4 linked regions of the Callithrix jacchus genome follow. The protein of the gene in region 3 interacts with the protein of the main gene of each other region in a biochemical or structural test. Links are inferred from orthologs where the notes say so. Each region holds a gene or a part of one and is shown on either strand. Other genes may lie near its edges. The genes, in order: ZFP36, ZFP36L1, MAPKAPK2 and HSPB1.

Evidence for each region.
Region 1: of the proteins of MAPKAPK2 (region 3) and ZFP36, one has a biochemical effect on the other in vitro, tested with the Homo sapiens proteins (2 studies listed by BioGRID). The link is inferred for Callithrix jacchus from reciprocal best matches to the Homo sapiens genes MAPKAPK2 and ZFP36.
Region 2: of the proteins of MAPKAPK2 (region 3) and ZFP36L1, one has a biochemical effect on the other in vitro, tested with the Homo sapiens proteins (2 studies listed by BioGRID). The link is inferred for Callithrix jacchus from reciprocal best matches to the Homo sapiens genes MAPKAPK2 and ZFP36L1.
Region 4: of the proteins of MAPKAPK2 (region 3) and HSPB1, one has a biochemical effect on the other in vitro, tested with the Homo sapiens proteins (17 studies listed by BioGRID and IntAct, with this or other methods). The link is inferred for Callithrix jacchus from reciprocal best matches to the Homo sapiens genes MAPKAPK2 and HSPB1.

The regions. Positions count from the first base shown.
Region 1 is NC_133523.1:34,892,105-34,898,027, reverse strand, and holds ZFP36 (mRNA decay activator protein ZFP36), read right to left. Parts: upstream 4,070-5,923; 5' UTR 4,031-4,069; coding exon 3,989-4,030; intron 3,192-3,988; coding exon 2,235-3,191; 3' UTR 1,532-2,234; downstream 1-1,531. Other genes in the region: uncharacterized protein LOC144580767, read left to right, coding at 1,057-1,426. UniProt on the Homo sapiens protein: Zinc-finger RNA-binding protein that destabilizes several cytoplasmic AU-rich element (ARE)-containing mRNA transcripts by promoting their poly(A) tail removal or deadenylation, and hence provide a mechanism for attenuating protein synthesis.
Region 2 is NC_133509.1:103,772,601-103,778,439, forward strand, and holds the start of ZFP36L1 (mRNA decay activator protein ZFP36L1), read right to left. Parts: upstream 3,919-5,839; 5' UTR 3,796-3,918; coding exon 3,739-3,795; intron 3,582-3,738; exon of another isoform or gene 2,593-3,581; intron 1,894-2,592; exon of another isoform or gene 1,550-1,893; intron 1,405-1,549; coding exon 445-1,404; 3' UTR 1-444. UniProt on the Homo sapiens protein: Zinc-finger RNA-binding protein that destabilizes several cytoplasmic AU-rich element (ARE)-containing mRNA transcripts by promoting their poly(A) tail removal or deadenylation, and hence provide a mechanism for attenuating protein synthesis.
Region 3 is NC_133520.1:34,222,795-34,228,613, forward strand, and holds the start of MAPKAPK2 (MAP kinase-activated protein kinase 2), read left to right. Parts: upstream 1-1,875; 5' UTR 1,876-1,961; coding exon 1,962-2,276; intron 2,277-3,610; coding exon 3,611-3,750; intron 3,751-3,935; coding exon 3,936-4,000; intron 4,001-4,252; coding exon 4,253-4,332; intron 4,333-4,809; coding exon 4,810-4,936; intron 4,937-5,513; coding exon 5,514-5,589; intron 5,590-5,819. UniProt on the Homo sapiens protein: Stress-activated serine/threonine-protein kinase involved in cytokine production, endocytosis, reorganization of the cytoskeleton, cell migration, cell cycle control, chromatin remodeling, DNA damage response and transcriptional regulation.
Region 4 is NC_133503.1:11,063,639-11,068,776, forward strand, and holds HSPB1 (heat shock protein beta-1), read left to right. Parts: upstream 1-1,953; 5' UTR 1,954-1,993; coding exon 1,994-2,357; exon of another isoform or gene 2,358-2,798; intron 2,799-3,040; coding exon 3,041-3,104; intron 3,105-3,215; coding exon 3,216-3,405; 3' UTR 3,406-3,525; downstream 3,526-5,138. UniProt on the Homo sapiens protein: Small heat shock protein which functions as a molecular chaperone probably maintaining denatured proteins in a folding-competent state. Plays a role in stress resistance and actin organization.

The sequences.
Region 1 (5,923 bases), on a different chromosome or scaffold from region 3:
AAGGAAGGACCAGCGATGCCTTTTTTTTGTTCTTTCCGTGACCAAGGCTCTGTTTCTGCGAATGTCTCTGCCTGCTTGCTCCTGCTCTTGCTCTCTGCCCCTCCTACGCCCTTGCATCGCAGGGGTTCTGGCTCTCTCTCTCCTGATCCTCTTCTACTTATCAGGGCCTGAGCCCTTTCCCACAAGGGAGGCAGTTTCCTAGAAGAGGAGACCAAAGGTCAGTGGGCCAGGGGAGAAGGCCAAGGAGGCGTGAGAGCAGGAGGGAGGCTTGAGGAGGGGAGAGAGAAGGGAGAGGAGGGAAGGGGCTGGAGAGGGAGAAAAGAGGAGGAGGACTAAGACTGAGGGGAGGAGGGGGAGAGAACAATGGGGAGTGAGAGGGCAAGGAAAGGGTGGAGAGGGAAGGAAGGACAGAAAAAGGGAGAGAAGGGAGACAGGAAGGAGGAGAAAGGAGGTAAGAGACGGCAGGATGGGGAGGCTAGAAGTGGGAGAGAGGAGTAATGAGGCAGGGGACGAGTTGGAGGGTGTAGAGAAGAACTGAAGGCAAAGGGTGTAGGGCGGGGCAGGAGGGTGCAGAGGAGGAAGTGAGAAGGAGGAGGAGGGGTGAGGGTAGGGAAAGGAGAGCAAAGGGAAGCGGGAGGGAGGGGGAGGGGAGAGGGGGGCAAGGAGAAAAAAGAGGGGCAGCGGGGGGCGAAGGCTGGACGGCGGGGCAAAGCCGCAGGCGCTGACGCAGGGCGGCTTCCGGGCGCGGGGCGCTGGGCCCCGGGGCTGGTCCCGACGTCGCTGGCCTTGTATGGTCCGGAGACGCGGTTCCTCCGGGGCCCCTCCTAGACACGCGGCCCCTATTACCCACACACCCTGGCCTCGCGGGGCCAACCACGGTGGGTGTCCGAGGCCTCGGGCCTCCAAGGTTCGGAAATACCAAGATCTGGTAATTCCTGGGCTCCAGGGTCCCGGGTGGCCAGAAACCCGCAACTCCGAGCCACCAGGGTTCCAGAGTCTAAAGCGCCAGGGGACTCAACCTGAGACTCCTAAATGTAGAGATCCTAGACTCTTGAGACCCTAAAACCCGCTTCCTCCCAACATCCCAAAGGCGTCGAAGCCCCCCAGGAACCCCGAGTCCCGAAACGGGTTCCGTTACCCCAGGCTGCCCCGCCCCGCGCCCGCCCCCGCTCGCCCTGGGCGCGCGCCCCAGCACATTCCGTCCTCTCCACCCGGCCCCTCCCGCCTCCCGCGGCCCGGTGGGGACGGAAACATCCCGTACCCGCTCGCGCGCGCCCGCCGGAGAGCTGGGTCAAGGAGTTCGGCAAGACCGGAGCGCGGTGCCCCGACGCCCGGGAACTGGCTCCCCCAGTTCTCATCTGGTGACCTCACCTGGTCACACCCTTTCAGGTGAACGGCCAGGCCTGGTGACGTCACTTCCTGCCAGGTAAGCGCCGCGGGGCTGGGAGGAGCAGAGCTGACTGGTTCCAAAAAGTCAACCCCTTCCCTCCCCATTCTTGTCTCTAGACCGCGAAGAAGCGAGGATCCCAGCTTACACGCAGATTCCGTTTATTTAAAAATTTTCAAAAACACAAAAATAGACTTTTAAGGTAACAATATATATTACTAAATATATTATAGTCTACTTATAATAATTATACCGTCGTTTCCAATATTACAAAAAAAGAGGAAGAAAAATACGAGGGAAGCAGACGACCCAATATATATAAATACTATAAAATCATATTAGAATAAATAAAGTCGTCATAAATAAAGACCCACTGATTCATGGGTAGGGTTTGGCATCAGCTTTGGCTACTTGCTTTTGGAGGGTAATTTGAGCACCAGGATCCCCCTCAGGGGAGGTTCCAGTTACCAGGAGACTCTGGAACCTCAGATCTCTAAAAACTGGAGGGGCAGAGAAGGCCTATTATTCACAGCACGTAAGATTCCAGGAGACAGATTTGCGCAGGGAAGAGGTGGGGAGAGGGTTCATTGCCTCCCTTAAATATGCTACATTTTTTTTTAAGAACCTCAGAAGACACTCCATCCCCCACTATGAATACTGAGCTTGCACACTTGGGGACCTGCCCCAGCTTGAGGTCAGGGGAGTGGGTTAATGCATTCTGGAAAAGGGGGTTACTTGATTACTGTCCCCCAAGTCTCCACAGCCCTGGGTCCATGCAAAGACCACAGTGCAAGAGATGTGGCTTCCCCCGTGAGATCCAACTGATCTGGCGGGGCAGAGTCACTTGTCATTCAGAAACAGAGATGCGATTGAAAATGGGGAGTCGCCGGGGGGCTGCCGTGGGCTGGGGTGGTGCAAAAATCCCCGCCTCGAAGACTGGAGAGTCAGAGCCCCCCAAGCTGCTGCCGCTGCTGGCGTATTCATCAGGGTCAGATCCCAGGGATTGTACAGAGGGGCTTCGAACCAGGCCACCCAAGGCCCCCCCCCAGACGCTCATAGGGGTGGCCCTTCGGCAGGAGGGGCAACAGACCGGGGTGGGGTCTCTTCGAGCCACAGGGGTACCAGGGGCAGCAGAGAAGGCAGAGGGTGACAGTGGAAGGTCCCCAGGTGGTGGCGGGGAGCTGGAGGGCGAGAAGGAGCAGGACAGGGAAGGGCCAGCCAGGCCTGGCGGTGGTGGTGAGGTCCGGCGGCCGGAGGGCAGGCCAGAGAAACTGATGCTCTGGCGAAGCACAGGAGGGTGGCCCGGGGCTGCCAGGTCTTCGCTGGGGTTGTGGATGAAGTGGCAGCGAGAGCCGTAGGGGCAGCGGCCCTGGAGGTAGAACTTGTGGCAGAGTTCCGTCTTGTACTTGGGGTGGCGATTGGCTTGGCGCAGCTCGCCCAGGCCATGGGCAAACTGGCATTTGGCCCCATAGCGGCAGCGCCCACTCTCTGAGAAGGTCCGACACAGCTCAGTCTTGTAGCGGGAGGAGGTGGTGGGGGTGGCTGTGGGCGAGGTGGGTGAGGGTGACAGCTCGGGGCCCAGGTGGGGAGCCAGCGGTGCGAAGCCAGGGGGTGGGGGCACCCAGCCAAAGCTGCGGCCCTCCACCAGGCTGGTGGAGCGGCCAGGCAGGCGAGAGATGACCCCAGACGGGCTGGAGTCAGAGGGGCTCAGGCTCCAGAGTCCCGAGGAGCCCCAGCCTGGGCTGGACTCAGTCTCTCCGTGGTCAGATGGCACGGGCGCATCAGCGTTCAGCGACAGGAGGCTCTGCGGAAATGGGTCGGTTAAGGCACCCGAATATGCAGGGCGACGCCCCACCCCAGCTGCAGGGATCAAGAGCTTGCCAGGCCGGTTTGTGGGCTCCCGGCCTGAGCCCCACCCGCTCGCAGAAACTCCCAGGTTCCAGATGCCAGGAACCCAGATTTGGAGATTCCGAGTTTACCCCCGACCGAGGCATTATCCCGAGGGACCCAGGAATTCCTGTTTCACCGGCTGGACCAAGAGGGGTCCCCGAAGTCAGAGCGCACCCCTGTTTCCCAATTTTGAGTCTCTGGACCTCCCCGGATATGACCCACACGTCGGGATCTCCAGTTTCACAACTGGAGGAACCGGGCAAAGTTGACCCAGGAGTCCGGATCGCTTTGGTTTTAGGGTTTTCAGAGAACTACGGTCAGGGACTGGAGAGACGTAAGTCGGATCCCCCCACCCTAAGACTTCAGCCCCAGACACGCCTCCGCGCAAAACCACGCCCTCAGCAACCACTAGGGATGAGCCAGGTATGGGGGCCACTTCCGCCTCCAGGCAGCCTCGGTGTGAGAAAAGTTCTCCGACTTTCCACTTTCCCGGGCCGCCCCACCCATGTTTGAGCCAAGACCCGGGAGACCAGAGCTCCATTTCACCTCCAAATCACCAAGCGGGTCTTGAGAGTAGAAGGCAGGGGCGCCGAACTGGCGCACTAGGGGGCCCCAGTTGGAGAAGGGAGGCAAGCTCCAGTCCCGGGCCGGAGCTTGCAGCTCTAGAGAGCTGGGAGTCAGGCGTGCAGGTGCCGAGTGGCGGGGACTCACCTCGTAGATGGCGGTGAGATCCATGGTGTAGCGGTTGGCCATGAGGAAGTCGGCCAAGTGTGGGAGCGCTGAAGTCAGGCTGAGGCTGGCAGGGAGAGCCAGAGTCTTATAGACGGCTTGGGGCGGGGCCGGGGGCGGGGCAGGAGGGGCGCTTCCCGGACGCGCGCCCCTGGCGCAGCCTGGCTGGCCCTGGACTGGTTCCCTTCCGCCCGGCCCTGGGCCAGGACGCGCCTGAGTTTGGCCGGTGGACAGCCGCGACCGGGCGGGGAGTGCGTGGGGCAGGGGTGGGAGTCGAGGTGGGGGTGCGGATGGCGGGGCGCCTGCCGAGTTTTCAGAGCTGGAGACTGAGGCTTGTAGAAGGGAACTGGGACGGAGGTGGGGGCAGGGCTCCAGGGGCAATTGACAAGGGCAGAGGCCCGATGGGGCGTGTGCGTGCGACACAGAAGAACGGGGGCGACGAGAGACACGCAGAGGGGTACAGACAGACAGGGAGAGAGGCAGAGAGAAAAACATCAACAGAGACCCAGAGAAGGATAGAGAGGGTGAGGAGGGGAGGGAAGGTGGGGAGAGAGAGAAAGTCCCAGAGACAGATTCAGAGGGAGAAGAGGGTTGGGAGAATCACAGAAACAAACCGAAAGGGGCTGAACGAGTGGCTCACGCCTGTGATCACAGCACTTTTTGTGTTTTTCTTTCTTTCTCTCTCTCTCTCTCTCTTTCTGTGTTGCTCAGGCCGATCTCGGGCTCCTGAGCTCTAGTGATCCTCCCACCGCGGCCTCCCAAACAGCTGGAATTACAGTTGTGAGCCGCCAAACTCTGCCAATCCCAGCAATTTGAGAGGGTGAGGCAGGTGGATTATCTGAGATCAGGAGTTTGAAGTCAGCTTGGGCAACAGCGAGATCCCATCTCTATAAAATGTATTATTAAAAAAAAAAAAAAAAAGATGACACCTGTTGTCATTGAGAAAAATAAAGAAGGAAGGAAAGACTGGACACAAAAGGAGAAAGACTATGAGAAACAAGCACTTAAAGAAAGAAATCTGTAGAACAAAGCCCCAGGAAAGAACCAGCAGGCCTTGGAGAAGAATTCTCCAAGAACTGCCTGCCTTGGGTGGTCTCACTCCCAAAAAGCCCAGACAGATAAGGAGGCTGGGACCGCCCTCCCGATCACCACTTGCTGGGATTGGGTGAGTGAGTGAGTGGGTTGGGGTCCAGGACACCTGGTGAAGCTGAAAAGGGGCCTCCTTTCCCAATTAACAGGGCGCCTCTAGCCCTTCACTTTCAGGCAGATAATCTGTTCTTCTGGGCTGATCATTGTTCTAAGTGCTTTAAGTATGTGCAGTAACCCTAACAAGCCAGGTGATGTGCCCATTTAATGCAGGAGGAAACCATAGTCAAGTTACTCTTCCGCCTGGCTCACACCTGTAGCCCCAGCACTGTGGGTGTCGGAGGTGGGAGGATCACCAGGGCTCAGGAGTTAGAGACCAGCCTGGGCTACATAGCGAATCCCGATTTCTACAAAACATACACAAAATTAGCTGGGTGTGGTGCACATCTGTGGTCCCACTACTGGGCAGGGGGAGGGGGCAGGCTGAGGTGGGAGAATCGCTTGATCCAGGAGGTGAAGGTTGCACTGAGCTGAGACTGGGGGTTTTTTTTCCAGGGGGATAAAAATGTTACTCTTCTAGTTCGAGCTACCAAATGGCAGAGGCCTCATACCAGGGCCTGAAATTATGTTGAGGTTTGCCCTCTAGGAAAACTCAAGCTTGGAAAGGTGGAGGTCTTTTATTATAATGGAGAGTTGCATTGATTGAAAGCTGTTTTGTTTTTTTGTTTTTTTTTTTTTTTGAGACGGAGTTTGGCTCTTGTTACCCAGGCTGGAGTGCAATGGCGCGATCTTGGCTCACCACAACCTCTGCCTCCTGGGTTCAGGCAATTC
Region 2 (5,839 bases), on a different chromosome or scaffold from region 3:
AGGCCCACGGGTGCCCTCTGGCGCTGAAGAGGTAATGTAGTCACAGTGACAAAGTTAGATTACAAGGCACTAAGTTGCTTCTGTAAACTGTTACTGCTTTTTCTTTTGTGATTTGGCACTTAAGGCTTAAGCCAGAAAAAAAAAAAAAGAGGCATCTACTGACAAAATATGGGACTTGTCTGTTATGCGTGATAAGTGGGCTATAAAATCCAGGGAGGGGGTTTCAAGCCAGAAGAAGCTACTGACAAATTGACTTGTCCTTATGTTAGGTGGGGTAATGATGGGGAGAGGGAGGGGACATTCTGAGGTGCTGGGGGAAAGGGGTTGAGCTTAACTTTGTTAATGTAGGACTTGTGGGGAATCAGATGGGTAGGGAGAAGAGGGTATGGGGTGTGGGTGCAGGGTAGGGGTTGGAGTAGGCAGGAGGTCCCTCCCTACCCTGGCTTAGTCATCTGAGATGGAAAGTCTGCTGAAGATGGGCAGGCGTCTTGAGTTGTCCAAGGTCGGGGAGTCTGAGCCACTGTGGCTGCTGCTGGAGCTGCTCAGGTAGCCCTCCTGGTCCGAGAGAGAATCCTGAGGGCTGGGGGGAGAGTCAAACATGTGAGGGGACTCGGACATGGGCCGGAAGAGGAAGGTGGTCGGGGAGCCACCCCCGGGGAGCCCCATGCTAGGGGCAAAGAGGCTTGCCAGCTCCTGGCTGGAGAAGGCAAAAGGGTTATTGGTGCCATCGGGCAGGGTAGGTGAGCCCAGGAGGTCATCGGCGCTCAGGATGGGGGGTGGGGTGATGGACGTGGGGCTGTCCAGCAGCCCGGTGGCAGCGGCGGTGGCAGCGGCACTGGGAAACCCAGCAAAGCTAAAGCTATGCTGGAGGCGGGGACGGTCAGCGGAGAGGTCCCGGGCCCCGGCCAGGGCACGGCGCTCTTCTGCGTTGTGGATGAAGTGGCAGCGGGGCCCATAGGGGCAAAAGCCGATGGTGTGGAAGGTGCGGCACAGCTCCGTCTTGTACTTGGGGTGGCGGGTCAGGCTGCGGAGCTCGTGGATGCCGTGTGCGAACTGACACTTGTCCCCGTACTTACAGGCACCGTTTTCCTCGAAGGGGCGGCACAGCTCCGTCTTGTAGCGGCTGGAGTTGACCTGGCCGCTCCCGGGCTGCTTCTGGGTAGGGAGCAGCCGCTCGCCCCCTTCCGAGAAGGAGCGGTCTCGGAAGCGGCTGTCCCGAGAGCTCAGAGCGGGGGCTGGCTCACTCTTGAGGCTGCTGAGGAGCTGGTTCTGGTGGAACTTGGAGCTGGGCAGGGTGACGGAGTGCCTCCGAGGGAAGCCCCCACCAGCAGGGGTGCCCACTGCCTTTCTGTCCAGCAGGCAGCCCCCTGCACTGGGTGCACTGTAGTTGAGCATCTTGTTACCCTGGAGAGAGAAGAGAAAGGATGGTAAGGATGGAAGACATCTACAGCCCTCTCCACAATCACAAACGCCGCCTGTCTCAAATAACCCATCTCCACCTTTGCTCTAGCAAGCCCCCTTCCCTCTCTCCCTCCTATAGACCATTCACCTGGGTTTATTTTGGCCCCATGCATAAGAAACCACAAAATCCAGACTGTGTGACAAGCACCCTGCTCCATGCCGACTCCTGCAGTGCAACCCCCATATCCTCTGTCCCCAAAGCTACCACTTTAATCTGTAAAGTTCAACTTCCTTACTGCCCAAATAGTTTCTCCAACTCAAAATATCTCAAACAACCCAGACCTCTCCAGATTACCCTCCCCTAACAAAACAGGTAAATCTGAGAGGAGACTGTTATAGGCTAGGTTAGGTCCCCTTCTAATCAGTCCCTGCTTAATTGATACCCCCTCCCTCAAAACCCAGCCTAAGAGGACTCAACTTCCTCCTTCCTTTGGCAACAGGTTTTCAGACTGCCTTTGCTTTTTCTTGTGGGGAGGAGCTTGGGAGCCTGGTCTGAGGTTGGGGGAGACAGGGAAGTGATTCCTGAAAATAAAACTCATTGCCCTAAGTTCCCGGAAGAGGTATTTTCCACAATGATCTCTCTCACAATTCCCACTCATGCCCAGCCCATCCCGTCCCCCTTCACTGTGAAGATGCCTTTGCAATTAGTCTTCTGGCTGCAGGAGCAGGCTTGGATAAGAGCGCCAGTGTTTAATCTTTAAGCAAAGCTGCAGATGGAAAGAAAAGGAAAGCACCAACCCCCCTACCCATCTCCCAGTCAATAGCAGATTGGGGGTGGTGGGGATGGGGGCAGAGCCACCAACGGCAGGTTTCTGGTCCAATGGGATCCTGATCACCTGCCCAAATTGTACCCAAGATTTGGAAAGGGTGCAGGTCGGGTACCTAGGAGTTAGTTCCCAGCCCATGTGGGTGTCATTTTGCAAATTCTAATGTTGGTCCTTTAGGCTCAGTGGGGGGGGGGGTGGGGATCGCGAATCTGTAACTGCAACCACCCCACCGAGAGGATTACAGGAACCCAGTCGAGAGCTGGTTCCCAACAATGAGGTTCATTTAAAACCCTCATTCATTTAAAAACCTCCCCTGAGGGGGGAGGGGGCCAAAGAAAAAAATAGATCAAAGAGCGGGAGAGTCGGGAAAAGAAGGAAGAAGTGTTGGGTAGCTCTGGCAGCCAGGCCGGCAAGTGGAGTTTGGGAATATGCAGGGAGGAAAGGAAGCTGAAAAATTCAAACTTTAAAAATGTTACTCTTCAGCTCCTCGGCGTCCCTGCACCCCAACCCTGCAGCCCTGGGGCCTTGGCAACTGCACCAACAGGAGCAGCAAGCTGGGAAAACAGAGCAACATGACCCGACGTGTTAAGAGAAGGTAAAAACACTTCAGCAATTAAAAGCAGCCCAGCAGCTTCGCCCTTTTAAATTGGGAGGAGGAGGTTGGAAAGAAATTTAACAACATCCATTGGCTTCTGCTATGTACGTTTAAACCGCAGTCCTGGAACACTCCGACTTTAGAACTTGCTTTTTCAACACTGGCTGGCAAGCAACATGTTTTAAGGAGGCCCCCATTAAATCCTTACTCCCGGGACTCTAGAGTTCAAGCCAGCATTTTGCCGCCCTCCCCTCTGCCACCCGCCACCAAAAATTGACCAGCCGCAACGACTCGGCAACACAGGTAAGCAGGTCAACTCCAATGCCTCTTTCACCCCAAAGTTTGCTGCACGATCGGCTATCGCAGGAAGAAGCCCAACGGAGCTAGGGCGGACTCCAGCACCACTGCAAACTTGTTCTGCAACATCTTTTTGAATCACAACTTGGCCTCCTTCTTCCTCGCATATCCCCAGCTCCCCCAAAAGGGGAGGAAAACGTCGTCCAGAGACTCACTTCCCCGAGGGATCTCCCACTCCCAATCCCAAGGGTCAGCAATGCTGCTGGACAGATCTAGGGCGCACACTGGGAACCCATCAGACCAACAGCACGTTACGTAAAAAAGAATCGCCCCAAACTTGCCCCAATCCCAGCCCTCCTCCCAAGGCCCCCGGGCTGCCTCGCCAAGCAAACGTCGCCCCTCAAAACTCTAGCCTCCGGATTCGCCCGTAGACCCCGCCAGAAACGGTTGAAACTCAAAAGGTGAGAAGGACGGGGCCAAATTCCTTCAAACTTGGGAGAAAAAAATCATCTCGCTGCACCACCTTCCCCACTGCCTTCCGAGACCCAAACTTTTGGGGGTTCTTTTTTGAAGCAAAAGAAAAAGTTTTTGAAAAGCAAATGCTCCGCCCCACTTTACCTTGCATAAAACTTCGCTCAAGTCGAAGATGGTGGCAGACACTAGGGTGGTGGTCATCCTGTGCGCTCGCGCGGGCCAGCGGCGAGGATCTGGTGTGTCTCGAAGGTCCCGGTGAGGGGAAGGCGCAGCCTTTCGGGTCTGGAGTCCCACACGCCAGTTCCCAGCGCCCCTCGCCTTTCTGACTCCGGAGCTGCGGCGCGCAAAGCCCGATTTATAAAGTTTCAGATTTGGTGGGCCGGGAAAGGAGGAGCTTTAAACTTATTTAAATGAGGAAGAGGAGGAAAAAGAAGTTGATTGACACTGGAGTTGAATCAGCCATGCGGTCAGGCGGGGCGGGGGAGGGGAGGAGAAGAAACTTTCAAAAGGAAGAAGGGGGAGGGGAGACAAGAAAAGAAGGCGGAAAAAAAAAACCCCACTCCGAGCCGCTCACAACCTTTTTTTTTTCTTAAAGAAGAAGTTTCGAGTCGGCTGACTTGGCTACCCAGCGCTTCAAGCGCCCCTCTCCGGGACCGCGCGGGCGCAAAGCGGGAGGGGCGCGCCCCCTCCTTTGTCAGCCTCCGAGCGCGGCTCTGACGTCACTCATTCCACTCCCTCCGGGGTTCTTGTTGTGGTGTTGTTGTTTTTTGTTGGGCAGGAAGGCGGGCTCGACTTTCTCTTTTTGCCAGCAGGAGCTGAAGCCCGTCCTTAGCGCCCGGGCCGCGGTTTACATGTTGAGCCGGTGGTCCCCTTGAAACTTCCCCAAGTGTCTGCACAACTTACCTTTTCCCGACTTCTCTTACGCACTCGGCTTCCCTCCGCAAACCCCGCAGGCCGAGTACAGTAGAAATTTGGGACGCACAGAACGTTCAAGTCTAGGGTTTTATGTTTTTTTTTCCAGCGGGGCGTAGGGTGGGGCGCGGTGCCGGGGGCGGGGGGGGGACTAGGGAAACTTTTTCCCCAGGAGGACACGGCCTGGCGGGCGCGAGCGCGGCAGTTTAGCGCGCCGCACGCGTCCACACTCGCGCTCGCTTTGCAGCCGGCGCTCTCCGGGTGTGGGCGGGTGGGGGGCGTCGCAAAAAAAGATTACAGCCCGGGCCGATTGTTTGTTTTACCAGGCCTAGGCGTGGCGTTTCTTTTCACGCATCCAATCTTTAAACTTTTGGTAAAGAAAACCCTAATCCTTCCTGAATGCCCTTTCCTCCCAGAAAAAGCCCACCAAGCAACTCACTACTTTCCACGCGCGCCCTGAAGTCTGGGCGGCGCCACAACACTCCCTCCTCCTCCATCCTCCCCACACACACCTCCAGACTCTAGAACAATGAAAAAAGTTTACTTTGATAAGAAGGAAGGTAAAAAGGTGGACGGAGGCGGCACTTTTATTGTTGCTTCTCTCGCCCCCACGGGAAAGTGGAACATATGGCTTGTCACGCTGTGCCGTTTTGGCGGGAGGTGGGGAGGCGGACATGGGAGCCAGGAAAGCTAAGGGCCCGCAATGGAGCATGACTCCCTTGAAAATGATAAAATATATATTTACTGTTATGTTTGGATGCCACCCACCCAAATATAAAGTTAACGTGTCCCCTACCCGCCCCTTGCGCCTTTGCCCGGGTGCTGGCGTGATGACCCAGGCGGAAGTCGCAGGGCCGCACTTCTTTCCGATTTCCACGCGGGCCTCGCCGCCCCCTCGGCCCTCGCACGTTTCTTCGCAGCACTCTAGGCCGCCGAGTCTGTTATGAAATCCGGTGCTGCCGAGTGGCTAAGATTGAGTTCCATTGCGATGTAATTAGGTCACCCCATTATGAACACGTTTCTTTGGAAAGGACGGGGCGGGCCGAAGAGAGCGCTCGAGTCACACTCTCACCACCCCCAACACACACACACATATATTTTTTTTTTAACTGCATTTTTTATTTATTCGTCAACCTCTGGGCAAACCCAGCGAAACCTTCCAAATCACAACTGTTTGAGAAACCGGTTGTTTTCAACTTTGCGAAACACAACTTTTGCTGCAGCCGGAACCTACGTGATCCCAGCGGGATCGGCTTTCATTTGTCTCCTCTGCCTGAAATTGATGGCCCCCACTTTAACCCGGCTGCTGCCCCTCGCCTGTTCTACTGCTGCT
Region 3 (5,819 bases):
GAAATGCAGTTAGGTTGGGGAGATAAGGCATAAATATGCAAAATGGTAATTTTTTTTGAAAGTGAAAAGTACCCTATAGAGAGTTTTTGAAGCATCTTCAAGGATATCGTTTTATGAAGTTGAATCCAATTTTATAGATGAGGAGACACTTTTCAGGAAGATAGATGACCTTGCCTGACACAAGCTAGGAAGTGCAGAACCGGGATTCAAAATGCATATGATTCCAAAGCCCAGGTTCACTGTGCTGCATCTGTCTGTCTCCTCTAATGGGAAGAGATTTTGTGCAAGTCTGGAAGTGCAATGTGGACCCAGCCCTTCTTGCTGCAGAGACTCCTTTGCCTTGTGCCATGCACTCTTAACGTGTCTAGGGCAGAAAGCATGGAACTTGCAGTGGGCTCTGGGAGTTCAGGGGGTGTCCGGGAGCACGCATTTGGGTTTGGACCTTGGTGCATCCCACTTAGCACAGCTCTGGTTGGCAGATGTCCTGGTGGTGGTCACTGGGCTGAAGACAGAAACCCAGCTTACACTCTTGCTTGTAACTCGTACTGGTTACATCCACATGCTCCAGGCTCAACTCAGTGGTGACAGAGGGACCTCCCTCTATCGTGGCACTAATGGTACTGGTTGACAGTGATGAATGCCTTTCTGATAACAATGCATTTTTAGAGATATTATTTCATTAAATGCTCATGATGTTTCTGTGAGTGGAGGCTAGGCAGATATCACTCCTAAATGCCTGTGGCACAGGCTCTGAAAGGTAGACCTCTGTGAGGCTGTGCAAGAAGAAATTGACAAATTTCAGACCTGGCCAAGTCTTCCCCAGCTGTAACTCTACAACCACGCATTGCCTCTGAGTAAATTTGACGACTTGATTCTTCTCTGAGCTCCAGTTCCTGTGTGCCTGTAGGGGGTGATAGAGGTTGTGTCTGCTTAGCTGCTCTGGAAACCTTGTTCCTGAACCCTTGGGAATTTAGCACTCTTACAGCATGTAATCTCACAGGATTTTCTGTGTCTCCCCTCACATTTTCTGACCCCCCACTAACCTAGGCTCTTCCAGATCAGGATTCCACTATTTGGTTTTGACATTCAGTGCAATCAATGTATGACCCATAATAGGAACTCAGAAAATGCTTGTTGGATTGAATTATATACAAAGGAAATTGGCCAGTGCCTTCTCCTGCTCCTCTTAGAGCATGTGAAAGTAAACTTTTTTCCTGGTACATCCAAATATATGAAGTTGAAGAATGGGTGAAGTGGCTCACGCCTCTAATTCCAGCACTTTGGAAGGCCAAGGCGGGGTATCACTTGAGACCAGAAGTTTGAGGCCAGCCTGGCCAACATGGTGAAACCCTGTCTGCTAAAAGTACCAAAAAATTAGCCAGACATGGTGGCTCACACCTGTAATCCCAGCTACTCAGGAGGCTGAGGTGGGAGAATTGCTTGAACCTGGGATGGGGAGGTTGCAGTGAGCCAAGATTGTGCCACTGCACTACAGCCTGGGCAACAGAGCGAGATCCTGTTTCAAAAATTTTAAAAAGCCCAAATGAAGTTGAAAGTAGCAGAACTCAAGACCCATGCGGTGTCCTCAGATGGCCACAAGGTGGCAGTGTGACCTCATAGGAATCTTGACTCCTGCAACTATTGGCTCCAGCCAACCATGACTCCATGGGAGAGACCCAGTTATCTTGTGCTTGATTCCCTCTAGACACCTGATGGGGAATGGCCTCTGCAAAGTCAGTCTGAGAAGTCTTGGTTTCCAGCCTCCTCTAAAAGCTGGGTGGTATGGTGGAAAGACTTGGTCTTTGGAGTGTACCAGGCCTGGATTCCAGCCTTGGCTCTGCCTTTTCTCAGAAATGTAGCCTTGGGCATGCTACTTTCCCGAGCTTTAGCTTCCTCATCCTGTAAAATGTCAAATGTTGTACAGTTAGGAAAAGCCCAGCACATCATGGGCCATAGCATAAATGTATGCCAGCCTTACTCTTGGAAATGCTTGTTTGCCCTTCCCTGCCATCTGCCATCTCCATCTTGGCCATCTGATCTTATCTGCAAGCTTCAGACACTTTGTGGCAGGTTCTCCCCCTCCCTGTTGTATCATCACAGCTCCACTCCATCTCAGTCAGTCAGCACCTGCTTCCCACGTTTCTTCCCGCCTGGATGCCTTCCCTCTGCCTGTCCATTTTCTTCCTAGCCTGTCTCCTGGACACCCTAGCCCTCTGCTTGTCCAAAGCAGCTGGAGTGTGGACTGCATCTTGACTTCCTATGAAGATGCTAGATCTGTGAGTGTCCTTGTCTTAATTATTTTGGCACCTGTGCTTGCACTTAGCAGACAATCGGTGATAAAAATGACAGCTGTTAGTAAGCACACGTCAGGCACTCTGTGAGGTGTTTTGTGGAAATATTCATTTAATCCTTATAACAAATCTGTGAAACAGAAGCCATTATCCCCACTTTACAAAGGAAGGGTAGATCAGGATGCTTTTGGCCCCAAGCAATAAAAATTTTCATGAAAAGCAGCTTAAACAGTAAGAAAAATTTATTATCTTGTCAGAAAGAAGTCATGAGGTATCCTTGGTGATGTCAGCAAGGATCCAGGTGGTTGCCATCTCTCCTGGTGGCCTTCCTCAGTACACTGGTTTATCCTCTTAGGCCCCCCTTACTGGTCATGATGTGCTTGTCATGGCCCCAGGTGCCGTAAACAGGAGAGATGATATAGGTTTCTTGTGCTCCCTTTAAGAAGCCTCTTAGCAGATTATTACAAAGATCTTGGTCAGTTGAGTTGTAGGCTTGCTCCTGAGCGAGTCACTAGCAAAGGGATTGGAATTAATGAGACTGGCTTAGACAAGTCAAGATTGAACTCCTGAGGCTGGTGAGGAGCCAGCCTCCTTTAACACCCCCAGCCAACTGGTCCAGGGAGAAGAAGGGGCATCAGTGAGGCTCAGCGAGTTGTTACTTGCTCAAGCTTGCTGATCCAGTAATAACTGGATCCATTTAATTAAATGGATGGGACCCAGGTCTTGTTCTGGGCTCACTGGCATAGAAGAAGCTTTCAAAGCATGTTCAGAGTGTCTGTCAAATTAAATGGATTCAAACCAGTGTCTGGCTGACTTCCAAGGCCATCTGTTGCTGGGTTGAAGTCAGCCACAGAGGTAGAGAGACCATCGCTCTGGATTTGGTGTGCTGGGTCTGAGTAATTGCGGAGGTACCTTTTCCTATGGACTTTGAAGTCTCTCCTCTCTCTAGCCCCCTTTCCAATGCCGTCTTGGTTTTTCTCAGTCTGCCTTTCTCCCCCTAACCCTTTCACCCCCTGCTTCCCAGTACCTGACTGCTGCTTGCCTTCTAGAGTAGACATCATGGCCTAAGCTGGACTAAATGGTCCAAGGGCTGATCTCAGTGTAGTTGTCAAGGCCCCAAGAGGGTCATGGTGAGATTTCATAGAGAGCAGATAAGGAACTGCAGAGGCCTCAGGAAATGTGCCGGGGGCTGGAAGGGAGGGGCCAGCGGGAGTGGGGGCTTTCTGGTGTGTTGGTGGTGATGCCAGGGCATGTGGGCCGGGGGCTTAGAGTAGGCCCACGTGAGAGTGCAGTTCCTCAGGAAGTTGTTTGGCCTGCAGATGCTTCAGGACTGCCCCAAGGCCCGCAGGGAGGTGGAGCTGCACTGGCGGGCCTCCCAGTGCCCGCACATCGTGCGGATCGTGGATGTCTATGAGAATCTGTACGCAGGGAGGAAGTGCCTGCTGATTGTCATGGAATGGTAAGCAGCCACTGTTCTGGTCCCTGCCCAGCTTGTCCCCACTCCCCACCCAGGTGCCTTGCCCTCTGAGGACAGCCCAGGCATGGGCCTGAAGCCTGGAATGTCAGCACTTGATTTCTTTTGGGGGCAGTGGAGAGTGGCGGCAGGATGCGGTGTTCTCCGATCTCACTGTGGCTTTGTTTCAGTTTGGACGGTGGAGAACTCTTTAGCCGAATCCAGGACCGAGGAGATCAGGCGTTCACAGAAAGAGGTAGAAATGATCTGCTGTGGGAACAGGTGCAGGCAGGCAGGGCAGTGGAGGTCTGAAGGGGCCTTTACCCCATCCAGCATGCTGCAAGGAGTGCCTCAACTGACCAGGGCAGCTCCTGGTGGCTTTGTTTCTGGGGTGGGTGGTGGCTGTGGGGAGCCTCAGGCTGCACAGAGGTGGGACTGACTGGGCTTTCAAGTCTAATGATGTGTCTTCGTGACTTTCTTTTCACTCCCCCTTCCCTCCCCTCTACAGAAGCATCCGAAATCATGAAGAGCATTGGTGAGGCCATCCAGTATCTGCACTCAATCAACATTGCCCATCGGGATGTCAAGGTGCCAGCTGTTCACAGCCCTGAGCCCGAGTACTGTGGGGTCAGCAGGGGGCCTGTGCCACCCTGGGGATGGTTGCCAGGCCACCCTGCATCCTTGCTGCCTGGTTCCTGAGCATGCCATTCTCTGCCCTATCTGCCCATGGGCAAACCCATAAGCCCAGTAGTGAAACATTCTCTGGCCACATTCAGCCCTGTGGTTCTCCTCAGGCAGAATCTCATAGACACACTCTTGGTTTCTCCGTCCCTGTGGTGTTTACTGCGGGTTCTGTGTGTCAGTCTCTCATCTCCAGGCAGTCTGGTAACCCTGCGGACGCAGACACCTGCCCATAGAGAGCTGCCGCTCCTTGTGGTGGACAGTGCCCTGGATAGGAAAATGGTTGCTGGATGAGCAGAGGAAGGAAGGAACCAGGACCCATTTGGTTTCTGACAGCCCCTCCCAGGTCCAACAGGGTTGCTATTTTTCTGTCTCTCTCTGTAGCCTGAGAATCTCTTATACACCTCCAAAAGGCCCAACGCCATCCTGAAACTCACAGACTTTGGCTTTGCCAAGGAAACCACCAGCCACAACTCTTTGACCACTCCTTGTTATACGCCATACTATGTGGGTAAGTCCACAGGAGGCCCAGGGACCTAGGCTTTTCCCAGAACTTTTCTCAGCCCCCTCCTTTTGGCTGTGTCGGGGGCCGCAGAGCCTAGGAGAGTTATGTCTGTATGGCCCCTTCTGGTGCTGGTTCTGCTGGGACCTGCTGAGAAGCAGGGCTTGTTAGAGCAAAACTACAGTGGAGGAAGTGTAGAGAAGGCTCTGCCAGGAGCTTTTTGAGAAGAGCCATGGTTTCCATCAGATTCTCAGTGGCGTCTGGGACCCAGGTCTTGTTCTGGGCTCACTGGCATAGAGGAAGCTTTCAAAGCATGTTCAGAGTGTCTGTCAAATTAAATGGATGGCATGAGACTAAAAGCAGTCCAGGATTTTTACAATCTTAAGATCCTAGTTCCAGGGTTCCTCGTGGAGGGGGGCATCTGTTCCAGTCCTGGGGCTGTGCTTCGGCTCTTCCTCCTGCGCCCAGCTGCTGCCACCTCATGACAGGCTGAAAGGCTGGGAGGGGGAGCATCTTTCACAGAGAAACTGAGTGGATTGCAGGGTTCTGAGAGCCGGGCCCACCCATGTTGACCTTTGGTTTACAGCTCCAGAAGTGCTGGGCCCAGAGAAGTATGACAAGTCCTGTGACATGTGGTCCCTGGGTGTCATCATGTACATCCTGTGAGTGTGCTGGAAAGGGGACTGGGTGGGGCTGGGAGTCAGGGCAGGCTGTACCTCTCCAGGTCAAGAGGAAGAGGCAGATGTTGGCATTCCATTTGGACAGGGGAGTCCCCTGCGTGCCCCTTCTCTCAGTTCCCATAGCTAAGTGGCATTGTAAACCAGCTCATGGGTGCCTTAGATACTTGCTATGCTGGATTCCTGGGCCCTGTCCTTGACTTTGTATGTTATGC
Region 4 (5,138 bases), on a different chromosome or scaffold from region 3:
ACTAAAAGTACAAAAATTAGGTGGTGTCGTGGCACATGTCTGTAGTCTGAGCTACTCGGGAGGCTGAGGCAGGAGAATCGCTTGAACCCAGGAGGCAGAGGTTGCAGTGAGCCGAGATTGGGCCACTGCACTCCAGCCTGGGTGACAGAGGGAGACTCCATCTCAAAAAAATTACAAATAAACATAGAAGACGTACAGTAAGAACACAGTGGTAGGGCGTAGTGGCTCATGCCTGTAATCCCAGGACTTTGGGAGGCTGAGGCAGGTGGATCACCTCAGGTCAGAAGTTCGAGACCAATTTGACCAACATGGAGAAAACCCATCTCTACTAAAAACACAAAATTAGCCAGGCATGGTGGCTCATGCCTGTAATCCCAGCTACTCAGGAGGCTGAGGCAGGAGAATCATTTGAACCCTTGAGGCAGAGGTTGCGGTGAGCTGAGATCCTGCTTATGCATTCCAGACTGGGTATGCAAAAGAGCAAAACTCCATCTCAAATTTAAAAAATATAAATCAACAAAACCACAGTAATATAATTTTTTGTTTTGTTTTTTGAAACAGGGTGGGCCAGGTGTGGTGGCTCATGCCTGTAATCCAAGCACTTTGGAGGCCAAGGCGGGCGGATCACCTGAGGTCGGGAGATCAAGACCAGCCTGATCAACATGGTGAAACCCCCTCTTAAGAAAAAAAAAAAGGAAAAGAAACAGGGTCTTGTTCTGTTATGCAGACTGGAGTGCAGTGGCACAATCAGGCTCACTGCAGCCTCCTGGGCTCAAATGATCCTCCCACCTCAGCCTTCTGAGTAGCTGGAACTACAGATGCACGCCACCATCCCCAGCTAATTTGTTTTGAATTTTAGTAGAAATGGGGTCTCACTGTGTTGCCCAGGCTGGTCACAAATTCCTTGCTTCAAGTAATCCTCCCACCTTAACCTCCCAAAGCCCACACACCTTGCAACCACACAGATTGTCAGATTCCTTTTTTTTTTTTTTTTTTTTTTGAGATGGAGTTTCGCTCTTGTTACCCAGACTGGAGTGCAATGGCACGATCTCGGCTCACTGCAACCTCCGCCTCCTGGGTTCAAGCAATTCTCCTGCCTCAGCCTCCCGAGTAGCTGGGACTACAGGCACGCACCACCATGCCCAGCTAATATTTGTATTTTTAGTAGGGACGGGGTTTCACCTTGTTGACCAGGATGGTCTCGATCTCTTGACCTCGTGATCCACCCGCCTCGGCCTCCCAAAGTGCTGGGATTATAGGCGTGAGCCACCACGCCCAGCCATCCAGCTAATTTTTAAACATTTTTTGGTAGAGGTGAGGTCTCACCATGTTGCCCAGAATGGTCTCAAACTCCCGGCCTCAAGGGATCCATCCTTCCTGCCTTGGCCTCCCAAAGTGCCGATTACAGGCATGAGCCATGCACCCAGCCCCTTTTTATTTTTTTGAGACAGGGCCTTGCTCTGTTGCCTAGGCTGGAGTGCGGCGGTGAGAACATAGCTCACTACAGCCTCGAACTCCTGGACTCAAGCACCAGACTGCTTTACATCACATTCCACACACAGCCTTGTGGTTCCAACCCTGCCTCTGCCACTTCCCAGCTGTTTGCCCCAGCCCAACCTGTCTGGCGCTGTCCTGCTTAACAAAAGGACTGGCCTGGCCGCCGGCCACACCCGCCAGCGCTGAAGCACCAGGGCCTCCGAGTGCCCTAGTGTGGCACGTCTCCAGCGTCGCACTCTCGAACTCATTTGTTTTCCTTAACGAGAGAAGGTTCCAGATTGGGGCAGAACCCTCTTCGCCCCGCCCACGGCCCCCTGAACTCTGCGGATGGGGGGGAGGGGTGCATGGGGAGAGGCGGTCCCAAACGGGTCATTTCCATTAATAGAGACCTCAAACACCGCCTGCTAAAAATACCCAACCGGAGGCACATAAAAGCGCGACCCAGCACCGCGGCCCGCACTTCTCCGAGCAGACGTCCCGGGCAGAGCCAGCCAGCATGACCGAGCGCCGCGTCCCCTTCTCGCTCCTGCGGAGCCCCAGCTGGGACCCCTTCCGCGACTGGTACCCGCACAACCGTCTCTTCGACCAGGCATTCGGGATGCCCCGGCTGCCCGAGGAGTGGTCGCAGTGGTTCGGCACCAGCAGCTGGCCGGGCTACGTGCGCCCCCTGCCCCCCGCCGCGGTCGAGGGCCCCGCAGTGGCCGCGCCCGCCTACAGCCGCGCGCTCAGCCGGCAGCTCAGCAGCGGGGTCTCGGAGATCCGGCACACGGCGGACCGCTGGCGCGTGTCCCTGGACGTCAACCACTTCGCCCCCGAGGAGCTGACGGTCAAGACCAAGGATGGCGTGGTGGAGATCACCGGTGAGCACCCCCTGGCCCTGCAGGGGAGGGGAGGAGGCTAGCGGGGAGGGCGGGGCCCGGGGGTGCGGTTGAAACCCCGGGCCTGGGGAGTTAAAAGTTAGCCCAGCACCGGGAAAAACGGGATCCGTCCGTGATTCCCCTGCTCAGGAATCGGGAGTGCAGGTCGCTTCTAAGGTCGCTTTCTGCTCTGTTATCTCAGCGCCTTGGGAGGCGGAGGCCAGGAGTTCAAGACTAGCCTGGGCAATATAGCGAGACCTCCCCCCCTACCAACTACAAGAAAATTAAAAAGCAACCAAAAATGTTTTAAAAGATCATCGGTGAAGAAATGCTTCTTTCCACGGAACTCTCTCCCCACCCGCAGCCCCATCCGCAGATAAGCGGGTCCCCTGGCGTGGTCCCTGTCCCTAGCCGCGCGAGGGGCGTGCGTGCTCCTCCCAGTGCGCCTGCGCGTTGCTCCCTCCGCCCCTCGGCACCCTGCTCCGTTCCTCCCAAAACTCTTACTCGAACTTTCCGGAAGTTTCTGAGAGCCCGGACAGGCCGGCACGCCCCCACCCCCAGTCTCCTCTGTTAATCCCTGCCAGCCTGCAGTCCTGGCTGCCTCCAAGCTGGAGGTGGGGCCTCTGGCCTGGCGGGGCCGAGAGTCGGTCCCCTTTCCCTCATTCTGATTTTCCTGTCCCCCGAAGGCAAGCACGAGGAGCGGCAGGATGAGCACGGATTCATCTCCCGCTGCTTCACCCGGAAATACTCGTGAGTCCTGCCGCCAGGTCGGGGTGGGTGGGTGCCGGGGGCTAGGGAGGAGGGCACAGGGACCCACCCGAAGTGTAATGTAACGTTCACATTCCCTCTCTGCACGTCCAGGCTGCCCCCTGGTGTGGACCCCACCCAGGTCTCCTCCTCCCTGTCCCCTGAGGGCACACTGACCGTTGAGGCCCCCATGCCCAAGCCAGCCACACAGTCCAACGAGATCACCATCCCTGTCACCTTCGAGTCGCGGGCCCAGCTTGGGGGCCCAGAAGCTGCGAAATCTGACCAGTCTGCAGCCAAGTAAAAGCCTTAGCCCGGATGCCCACCCGTGCCGCCGCCACTGGCCATGCCTCCCCCCCCACCTGTGTGTTCTTTTGATACGTTTATTTGTTTTTCTCAAATAAAGTTTGAAGCAACCCACCTGTCACTGGCTCAGACCCTGGTGTTTGTGGAAGGAAGCTTCGGGCACCTGCCATTCCCTGGCTTACACTAGCCACCTTTGCTCAGGGTGTGCTGGGTGCACAGCCCCGTGCTGGGCCATGTGGGTACTCCCGTGTAGGTTGCTAGGCACAGGCTAATTCACATCCATAAAGACAGAGAGGTCCTATTGCCCGGCATTGTGGCTCAGACCTGCAATACCAGCACTTTGGTAAGTTGAGGCAGGAGGATTGCTTGAAGCTGAGAGTTCAAGACCAGCCTGGACAACACAGTGAGACCCTATCTCTTAAAAATAAAAAGCCAGTTGCAGTGGCTCATGCCTGTAATCCCAGCACTTTGGGAGGCTGAGGGGAGCAGGTCATGAGGTCAGGAGTTCGAGACCAGCCTGACCAACATGCTGAAACCCCATCTCTACCAAAAATACAAAAATTAGCCAGGCGTAGTAGCATATGCCTGTAATGTCAGCTACTCAGGAGGCTAAGACAGGAGAATCACTTGAACCTGGGAGGCAGAGGTTGTGGTGAGCCGAGATTGTGCCACTGCACTCCAGCCTGGGTGACAGAGCAAGACTGTCTCAAAAAAAAAAAATAATAAAATAACAGAAATAAAAATTAGCCAGGGGTGTTATTGCACACCTGTAGTCCCAGCTACTCAGGAGACTGAGGCTGGAAGATTGCTTGAGCCCAGGAGTTGAAGCGTGCAGTGAGCTAAGATTGTGCCTTTGCATTCCAGCCTGGGCAACAGAGCAAGATCGTCTCAATAAATAACTAAAAACTCAGAAAGAGTGAGACCTTGTCTTTAAAAGAAAAAAAAAAAAGGTCGTGATTGCAAGGTCATGGTTGCAATTAAAACTGTAAGGTGTGGAAGCGGAGGAAATGGGAAGCACCTGAGGCTTGAGTTTTCACGGTCGGCGAGGCTGGGGCCCAGGTGAAGGGGCACGGGGGTAATTGCACCTCCCCGCAGAGATTACTGCGTCAGAAGCTTGGCTTCGGCTTCGGCGCACCCAAGGGCACCACAGTGGACCTGGTAAGCTTTGAGGTCGTCACTGCCACACCCCCTGAGGCCAGGGCATCCCTGTTGGCAGTCACAAGGGAACTGGCAGGCAGAACTGGGGTGAGAACGGAGCCCGCAGTCTCTGGGTGGGGAGATTGGGTAGCACCCTGGCCGACGCGCTCAGACCTGTGCTGCTGGCTCTGCCAGCGATTCTTGTTGCCTGTGTTTATTTTCAGTTGGCCTCCCTCCCGGTGTAGCCAGGCCTCCATGGGCCCAGTTCCTCTGTTGTCTGCCCTTGCCCTAGCTGCCACCCTCTAACCAGGCCCAGGGAAAGCTGTGGAGGTACATAGCAGATGGGGGTGCCAGGCGTAGTGGCTCATGCCTGTAATCCCAGCACTTGGGGAGGCCAAGGCAGGTGGATCACCTGAGGTCAGGAGTTCGAGAGCAGCCTGGCCAACATGCTGAAACCCTGTCTCTACTAAAAATACAAAAATTAGCCAAGCGAGGTGGTGCACGCCTGTAATCCCAGCTACTCGGGAGGCTGAGGCAGGAGAATCAATTGAACCTGGGAGGCGGAGGTTGCAGTGAGCCCAGATCGCACCATTG